Linked DNA regions of Cricetulus griseus. The protein of the gene in region 1 interacts with the protein of each later gene in a biochemical or structural test. Links are inferred from orthologs where the notes say so. Each region holds a gene or a part of one and is shown on either strand. Other genes may lie near its edges.

The links.
Region 2: the proteins of Cabin1 (region 1) and Mef2d form a complex in vitro, tested with the Homo sapiens proteins (2 studies listed by BioGRID). The link is inferred for Cricetulus griseus from reciprocal best matches to the Homo sapiens genes CABIN1 and MEF2D.

The regions. Positions count from the first base shown.
Region 1 is NW_023276806.1:262,840,922-262,844,733, forward strand, and holds part of Cabin1 (calcineurin-binding protein cabin-1), read left to right. Parts: intron 1-352; coding exon 353-466; intron 467-1,491; coding exon 1,492-1,626; intron 1,627-2,358; coding exon 2,359-2,539; intron 2,540-3,654; coding exon 3,655-3,784; intron 3,785-3,812. UniProt on the Homo sapiens protein: May be required for replication-independent chromatin assembly. May serve as a negative regulator of T-cell receptor (TCR) signaling via inhibition of calcineurin. Inhibition of activated calcineurin is dependent on both PKC and calcium signals.
Region 2 is NW_023276806.1:66,317,197-66,321,008, reverse strand, and holds part of Mef2d (myocyte-specific enhancer factor 2D), read left to right. Parts: intron 1-130; coding exon 131-334; intron 335-1,853; coding exon 1,854-1,991; intron 1,992-2,040; coding exon of another isoform or gene 2,041-2,175; intron 2,176-2,952; coding exon 2,953-3,163; intron 3,164-3,362; coding exon 3,363-3,419; intron 3,420-3,812. UniProt on the Homo sapiens protein: Transcriptional activator which binds specifically to the MEF2 element, 5'-YTA[AT](4)TAR-3', found in numerous muscle-specific, growth factor- and stress-induced genes.

The DNA.
Region 1 (3,812 bases):
CCAGGCATCTCCATGGGGTTCTCAGGGGAACTTTCACTGTGCTGATGTCTGGCTCCACCTCATGTTGAGCTTGTCTCACTTGGGAGATAGCCATGCTGAAGAGCTCCATACTCTGCTCTTGTGTTGCTGCCTCTTGCCTCCTTCTATGGTGCCTGCATCTCTGTGTGTGTGCCTGAAAGGGACTCTTTCCCAGTGGTGAGGTCTGGACACTGAGCAGTCATATCTCCTTTGCTCTCGAGGCTGTGGCTGACAGTTCACTTGGCAGGGACTCATAGCCTTCCCTCTAAAACATTTTTGGTTTAAAAGGATCAACTTGAGTGTGGTGTGAAACATCTCATATCTTGGTTTGCAGGAAGCAGAGGCTTTTGCCTTATACCACAAGGCCCTGGACCTACAGAAACATGACAGATTTGAGGAGTCTGCCAAGGCCTACCATGAACTCCTGGAGGCGCGCCTGCTGCGGGAGGTGAGGTACTGGGATGCTGGGCTGTGTTTTTTGAGACAGAGTCTCACTTTGAAGTCCAGGCTAGCCTGAAACTCTGGGTTCTCCTGGATCCTGAGATTGCAAGAATGGAACAACCTACCCAGTGCTTTTCACTGTCTGGGTCTTGTTTTGCACACATGTACATGTGTGTATGCATGTGTGTTTGGTTTTAGTTTTTTCTTTTTGAGACAGGATCTCATGAAAGCCATGCTAGTCTTGAACTTGCTGTGTAGCCAAAGCTAGCCTTGAACTGACTGCCCTACCCTACTTCCTGAGTGCTGAGTGCAGGTCAGCCTGGAATTCTCTGTGTAGACAGGTTGCCCTTTGACAGAATTCTGCCTGCCGCTGCCTCCTCAATGCTGTGATTAACGTCATGTGCCACCACACCTGGCTCTGACAGTAGTTTTTATTCAGTGATATCTTGGAAGAGTAAATGTTTTTAAGGCATTGCTATAAAAGCAGCGGTGAAGTAACTTTTTATGTTAAAGATGTTTATAATCCTTATACTGTTTGATCTCATGTTCACATTTGCTATCCAGGCTAGGAATTGCTGTCCTTTTATTATAGAGTTCACTGACAGTAGCTGTTTAGTTGGAATACCTTGTGGGTGGCTGTGTGATGATCCAGAGTCAGGAGCTTCTCCTCCTGGGGCAAAGCTTAGGTTCTGGCTGCTCACCCCAGGAAGCCTCTTCACACTTGCCCCTGAATAGGGGGACTGGCTGGGCTTTTTTGTCAGAACTGATAGATGTTACCAGCTCCACTAAGCAGCCCAGGTACAGCAGCAGAGGTGGAGAGGGGTCTCTTGTCTTCCTTGATTACCAAATTTCTGCTTCATGGTGGTTTGGCCTTTCTTTGTATGATTGGAGCTATTTGGTCTCCCAAAAATTTCCCAGGTGAGGTGGACTGGGCTGTCTCAAGCAGTATCTGGCCTGGAAACCAGGTTTCTTGTTGATTGCTTGATGAAGCTGTAGGGTCATGGCGTCACTTCTGCTTCTGTTTTCTCTCAGGCAGTTTCATCTGGAGATGAGAAAGAAGGGTTGAAACACCCTGGACTGATACTGAAATATTCTACATATAAGAACCTGGCCCAGCTGGCAGCCCAACGAGAAGATCTGGAGACAGCCATGGAATTCTATTTGGAGGTATGGAGTTGGTACTACTCAAATATCCATTTACAAAATTGATAAATTGGATGTGATATGGTCTTGTTGACTGAAAGAAGGATTTGTAGTGGTGTCCCATCAAGAGATATTATTGAGTGCAGAAAGGCCAGAAAAGCAGGGCTAGGGACTGGGATGGGCTTCAGTGCAGAGGACTATATGTGACATTTTCTACCATCAGTACACATGTGACTGTAGGTGACTTATTTAATCCAGCCAAACATCCAGGTCTATACCAATGTGTAATAGGAGGAAAAAAGGGTAAAGCTGGGCATAGTGGTACATACTAAACCAAGCAGTGGAGGGCTGAGGCTGGAGGATCACATAGCAAGTTTGGAGCAAAGCAAACAAATTGGTGCATTTTTAGGTATGAAGACCAGATCCTGACACCTGTATTCAGTGGTGTTTTTGAGACGGTGTTCCACTGTGTAACAGCCCTGGCTGTCCTGGAACTGGCTCTGTAGACTAGGCTGGCCTCTGCCTCCCAGTGCTCCTGGCCTCATGTAGCTTTTTATGTGTCTTTTGTCTGGGTCTTGGAAACATGTTACTCCAGGAAAGTGAACCAGCTTTATTATAAGCAGCCACACTGTCTTGACTTCTCCCTGGGTAATTTGAATGGCTGGGCCAATGCTTTGTCCTTTTGTTGCCACTTTGCTTGCTCAGTGAGAAATCTAATTAAGTGCATATTGTACCCTCTGCTTATACTGCTTCTAGGCAGTGATGCTAGATTCCACAGACGTCAACCTTTGGTATAAAATTGGACACGTGGCCCTGAGGCTCATCCGGCTTCCTCTGGCTCGCCATGCTTTTGAGGAAGGGCTTCGATGTAATCCTGACCACTGGCCCTGCTTGGACAATCTCATCACTGTTTTATACACCCTCAGTGATTACACAAGTGAGTCGGGACAGATGAGAGAGGTTGACTTGGGTAAGCTGGTAGCAAAATTTATTAGTTCTGCCAAACTGAGGAAGAATGGAGATGTTTTTACATACTTGCTTAATTCTGTTTTCCTTTCTTCATTAACCAGATGCTTGTAAGTATAGAGTAAGGTAACAGTAATGTATTCTCTAAAGGATTCCCCTTTTCCTCTGTGCAACGTCCTATCTTTTTGGGTTGTCCTTTTTTTTTTGGATAAAAAGTCTCCTGTGTCACCTAGGCTAATCTTAAACTCCAAAGGCCTGTCACATTGAGTGACATAATGGGAGACATTTATTTTCCTGGCTTAGGCTAGGAAGTCTAAGATCAGGGTGCCAGCAGATTGGTGCCTGGTCGTGGCTTCTGTGTTTCCACCTCTTGTAGCTTTACTTGATGGGGTGGAGTTAGAAAACGAGAGGGAAGGTGAGCCCACTTCATGTGTGTGTGATACAAGAGGTATAATTTATCCTGAAGCAACATTCTTCTCTACCCATGGGCCTAGCCGCATTGTTTATGTGCTCCAAAATATAATGGTGGGATATTTGTAGAATAAACCTTCCCTTGTCTATCCCCAAAGTGAGAAATAGAAAAAAAAAAGGGGGGGGGAGTGAAAAGTTCCAGGTAAACTCAGAACTTAGTAAGGTAAATTTCATTAGGTCTTTAGGTTCAGTAATGTCTTTGGTTTGATGCTCTTGTCCTCTAGGTCCACTGGGTGGCAGTGTCACTCTCATAGCTGAGATGGCCAGATATTTTGAAGGATATTGGCCAATAGCTAATCACTGTGAGCTCTTTAGATTTTTTTTTTTTTTTGCAGCAGTTATTAAATATGGAATCACGGGGTCAAGGCTGTACAGTAAAGTCATACAGTCTGTTTGCTTCTGGCACCAGCTGTCCTATTCACCTGCAAGTGTGTGTTCTGGTGCATTCTTGATATTGTAGTCTCAGCTGTAGTCGTTACTAATTAAGTTGGGTAAGATGCTAGCTCAACATTATTGTGCATTTTAGTTCCACAGTGGGAGCATTTTCCTGGTGTTAACTGGAAGGCTAGAGTTGTGAAAGCAGTCTTAGCTTCTAACCTGTTTCTTTCCTGCTAGCTTGTCTGTACTTCATCTGCAAAGCACTGGAGAAAGACTGCCAATACAGCAAAGGCCTGGTCCTCAAGGAGAAGATTTTTGAAGAGCAGCCTTGTCTCCGGAAGGACTCACTCCGAATGTTTCTCAAATGGTAAGGCCTGCATCTTCTCACCAATGTG
Region 2 (3,812 bases), about 200 Mb from region 1:
CTAGATCAAGGGTTTCCATAGACAGTGACTGAGTCACCCTGAAAGCAGAACTCCAGGGGAGGGGCTGTGTCCAGATACCTATGGGCAGAGGGACTCTTGTTAGACCTGGCCACCCACTACTCTCCTGCAGGTGACATTCACCAAGCGGAAGTTTGGGCTGATGAAGAAGGCCTACGAGCTGAGTGTGCTATGTGACTGCGAGATTGCACTCATCATCTTCAACCACTCTAACAAGCTGTTTCAGTATGCCAGCACCGACATGGACAAAGTGCTGCTCAAGTACACGGAGTACAACGAACCGCATGAGAGCCGCACCAATGCTGACATCATTGAGGTGCGCCTGTGCCCGCCTCTGTCCATGTGTAAACCCATCTCTTCTCCTGAACCAAGGCCCCAAGGAAGGAGGGGCATGACAGCAAAGGCATGAGACATGTAGCCAGTACCAGGCTTCAGCTTGACTTAGGCAGTGTGTGCCAGGTCTGAGGCGCATCCTGTGTCTTCTCTGTCTCTTTAGAGCCTCCTTCCTTCATCCTCTGGGATATTCCTTTTTGTGTCTCCCTCTTTGTTCCCACCTCTCCTTTCTGTCCTGTGTGGCTCTTGCCTTCTGTTTCAGAGTCAAATTTTGAAATGTTGAGGACTTGAGCTTTAGGACTCATCTCTGGTCTTTACTGGTACATGGCCTTAGGCAGGTGGTCTGGGCTGTGGTCTCTTCCACAGACTGAGCAGTGCTGACTTACAAGAGTGTTCTGTGAACAAATGAGACAGCCAGCTCATGCTTCTCACTCTAGGGTGCCAACATGGGGTACAGAGGTTAAGAGTACTGGTTGCTCTTCCAGAGGAGCTGGGTTTGATTCCCATAGGGCAGCTCACAACTGCCTGTAACTCTAGTCCCAAGGGATCCACTCTCTTCTGACCCCACAGGCACCAGGCACTCATGTGATACACATACATACCGGCAAAACAGACATACACATGAGATAAAATAAAAATAAGCCAGGTGGTGGTGGTGCACACCTTTAATCCCAGCACTCGGGAGACAGAGGCAGGTGGATCTCTGTGAGTTCGAAACCAGCCTGGTCTACAGAGTGAGTTCCAGGGCAGACGAGGATACACAGTGAAACCCTGTCTTAAAAAGAAAAAAAAAAAAAAAAGTAAAAATGAAGCAAGGGCTGGGGAGATGGCTTAACAGGTAAAAGCACTTAATGCCAAGTCTGATGACCTGACTTTAAATCCCAGGATCCTTGTGATAGAAGGAAGAGAACCAACACCTGCAGGTTGTCCTCTGACATGCACTCATGTGCCATGGCATATACACACACACACACAAACACACACACACACACACGCACGCGCGCGCGCGCAAGCACACGTGATTTTAAAAAAATGAAGCAAGTATCTTTAAAGTTTTGAGCAACCACAAGCACTTGGGTCTGCCACAGGTACACTCTAAGGTCATGTGCAAGGCTTTGGCCCCTGGGAGAATCTGGGGTGGTAAGTGCAGGTCCTTTGTGCTCTCCTGTGTCCTCCTCTCCTATCTCCATCCAGCTCGGTCACCTAAATAGAACTTAGGGGTTTGGATGGGCAGAGTTCCCCACCCCTAAACACATCCTTAGGGGAACAGGCTGGGGTGACAGAGTCGTGTAATATACCTGCCCCATGCCTAGGTTAAGTCCACTTCACTCAGGACCCCAAGGGAGCATTGTAGGGAGGAGAATGGCTCTGAGGGAGGGACTGGAGCTTCTGGAAACCATGGGAGAGAAGGTTGGAGAAGAACAGGGGATCCTTGGGAGGAGCTTGGAGGAGGCAGGAGGACCATTGCTGGCTGGCTGGCTGACTGAGTGGTGCGGTTGCAGACCCTGAGGAAGAAGGGTTTCAACGGCTGTGACAGCCCAGAGCCGGATGGGGAGGACTCACTGGAGCAGAGCCCCCTGCTGGAGGACAAGTACCGGCGGGCCAGTGAGGAGTTGGATGGGCTCTTCAGGCGCTATGGGGTGAGCCCTCCTCACCTTTTCTGTGGTCCCCTTCCGGCCCCTCCCCCAGGCGCTGCACAAGAAGCACAGGGAGTGTGAGAGCCCTGAGGTGGACGAGGCGTTTGCCCTGACCCCCCAGACGGAGGAGAAGTATAAAAAGATAGACGAGGAATTTGATAAGATGATGCAGAGTTATAGACTGGCCGTGAGTAGTCGCATGGAGGAGAGCCTCCTGTGCTGCATGGTGTGGCTTCACCCAGCCTTGCCCGGCCCGTGGCTGCCTCTGATGGGTGCACTAGGATGAGCCATCTTGGAGCTGGTACTGACCACTGAGGAATTCCTGACCTCGGTCTTGATAACCCTCTTCTTATAAAGTCCTTGCATAAGCTAGAGAGACAGGCATTCTCCCCTCACCAACAAAAAGTACAGATACCTTGAGTCTTTAGAGGACAAAAAAGAGTATGTTCTTTGTCCTGTTGTTTTGGGGGAGGCCCCCTTGGGCTGCTTTGGCACCCCTGCCTAAGGCATTCAGCTTTGTTTAAAGGAGGTGGAACTGCTAAAGGGAAGGGAGAGGGGTGGGCTTGAACTGCTCCTGAAGCAGGCCAAATGGTGGATGGCAACTTAGTGAAGCCGTATTCTTAGAAGTGTGTGAGTTGGGTCTGTATGCAGGGCACTAACTTGCTCCCAGTGTGTCCTGCCTGGCTGAGGACTAACCCACCTCCACTGGGGGTATCCAGTCCTGTCTGCAGGGGGCAGAGCCTTGCTCTTCTGCCTTGGACCAGAGCTATATTACAAGGTGCTCTCATCTTTCTGATGGGAGGTAGGTAGGATTACAAAAGGGCTGAAGGCAGGGAGTCCAAGGTGCTGGCCCTTGGAGATATAGTCCAGGAACCAAAGAACCCTTGTGCCTACCCTCTTGGGCAAAATGGGTCCAGGTGGAAAGATTCACCTGGTGTGACACCGCCTCCGTCTTTCTGTCTAGTCATCTGTTCCGGCCCCCAACTTTGCCATGCCTGTCACAGTGCCCGTGTCCAATCAGAGCTCCATGCAGTTCAGCAATCCCAGTGGCTCTCTGGTCACTCCTTCCCTGGTGACATCATCCCTTACGGACCCACGGCTCCTGTCCCCCCAGCAGCCAGCACTACAGAGAAACAGTGTTTCTCCAGGCCTGCCCCAGCGACCTGCTAGTGCAGGTAAGTGGGCTGGAGGGTGAATTGCTAAGGCGGAAGTGAGCCTCTGGGCTTCCATTTTCAATGGTGGGTCTTCCCTTCACAGAATTCCTGCATGTGTATGACTCTTGAGGGGGAAAAGCCTAGGACTCCTAAGGGACCCCCCCCCCCCTTCTTGTCCAGTCCCAAGACAAAGCTCACGGTAGCTCTGCTTTTCTCCCAGGAGCCATGCTGGGTGGAGACCTCAACAGTGCTAATGGAGCCTGCCCCAGTCCCGTTGGTGAGTGTAGCTGCCTTCCACAGGGTGGCTCAGAGGGACCAGAGACTTAAAAGAAAGGGGAGGAGAAATGGCAAGACCTAAGCAGGAGGCATCAGAAAATTTTTGTTTTTGTTTTTTGAGACAGGGTTTATCTGTATTGCTTTGGAGGCTGTCCTGGAACTTACTCTGTAGACCAGGCAGGCCTCAAACTCAAAGAGATCCTCCTGCCTCTGCCTGCTGAGTGTTGGGATTAAAGGTGTGAGCCACCAAAGCCCGGCCAGGCCCCTGGATTATTTTGGAGTCTACAGCAGTGACTAGTTAGAGTGACTAGTCACTGGGTCCAGGTGGAAAGGTTCACCTGGTGTGACACCACCTCCGTCTTTCTGTCTAGTCATCTGTTCCGGCCCCCAACTT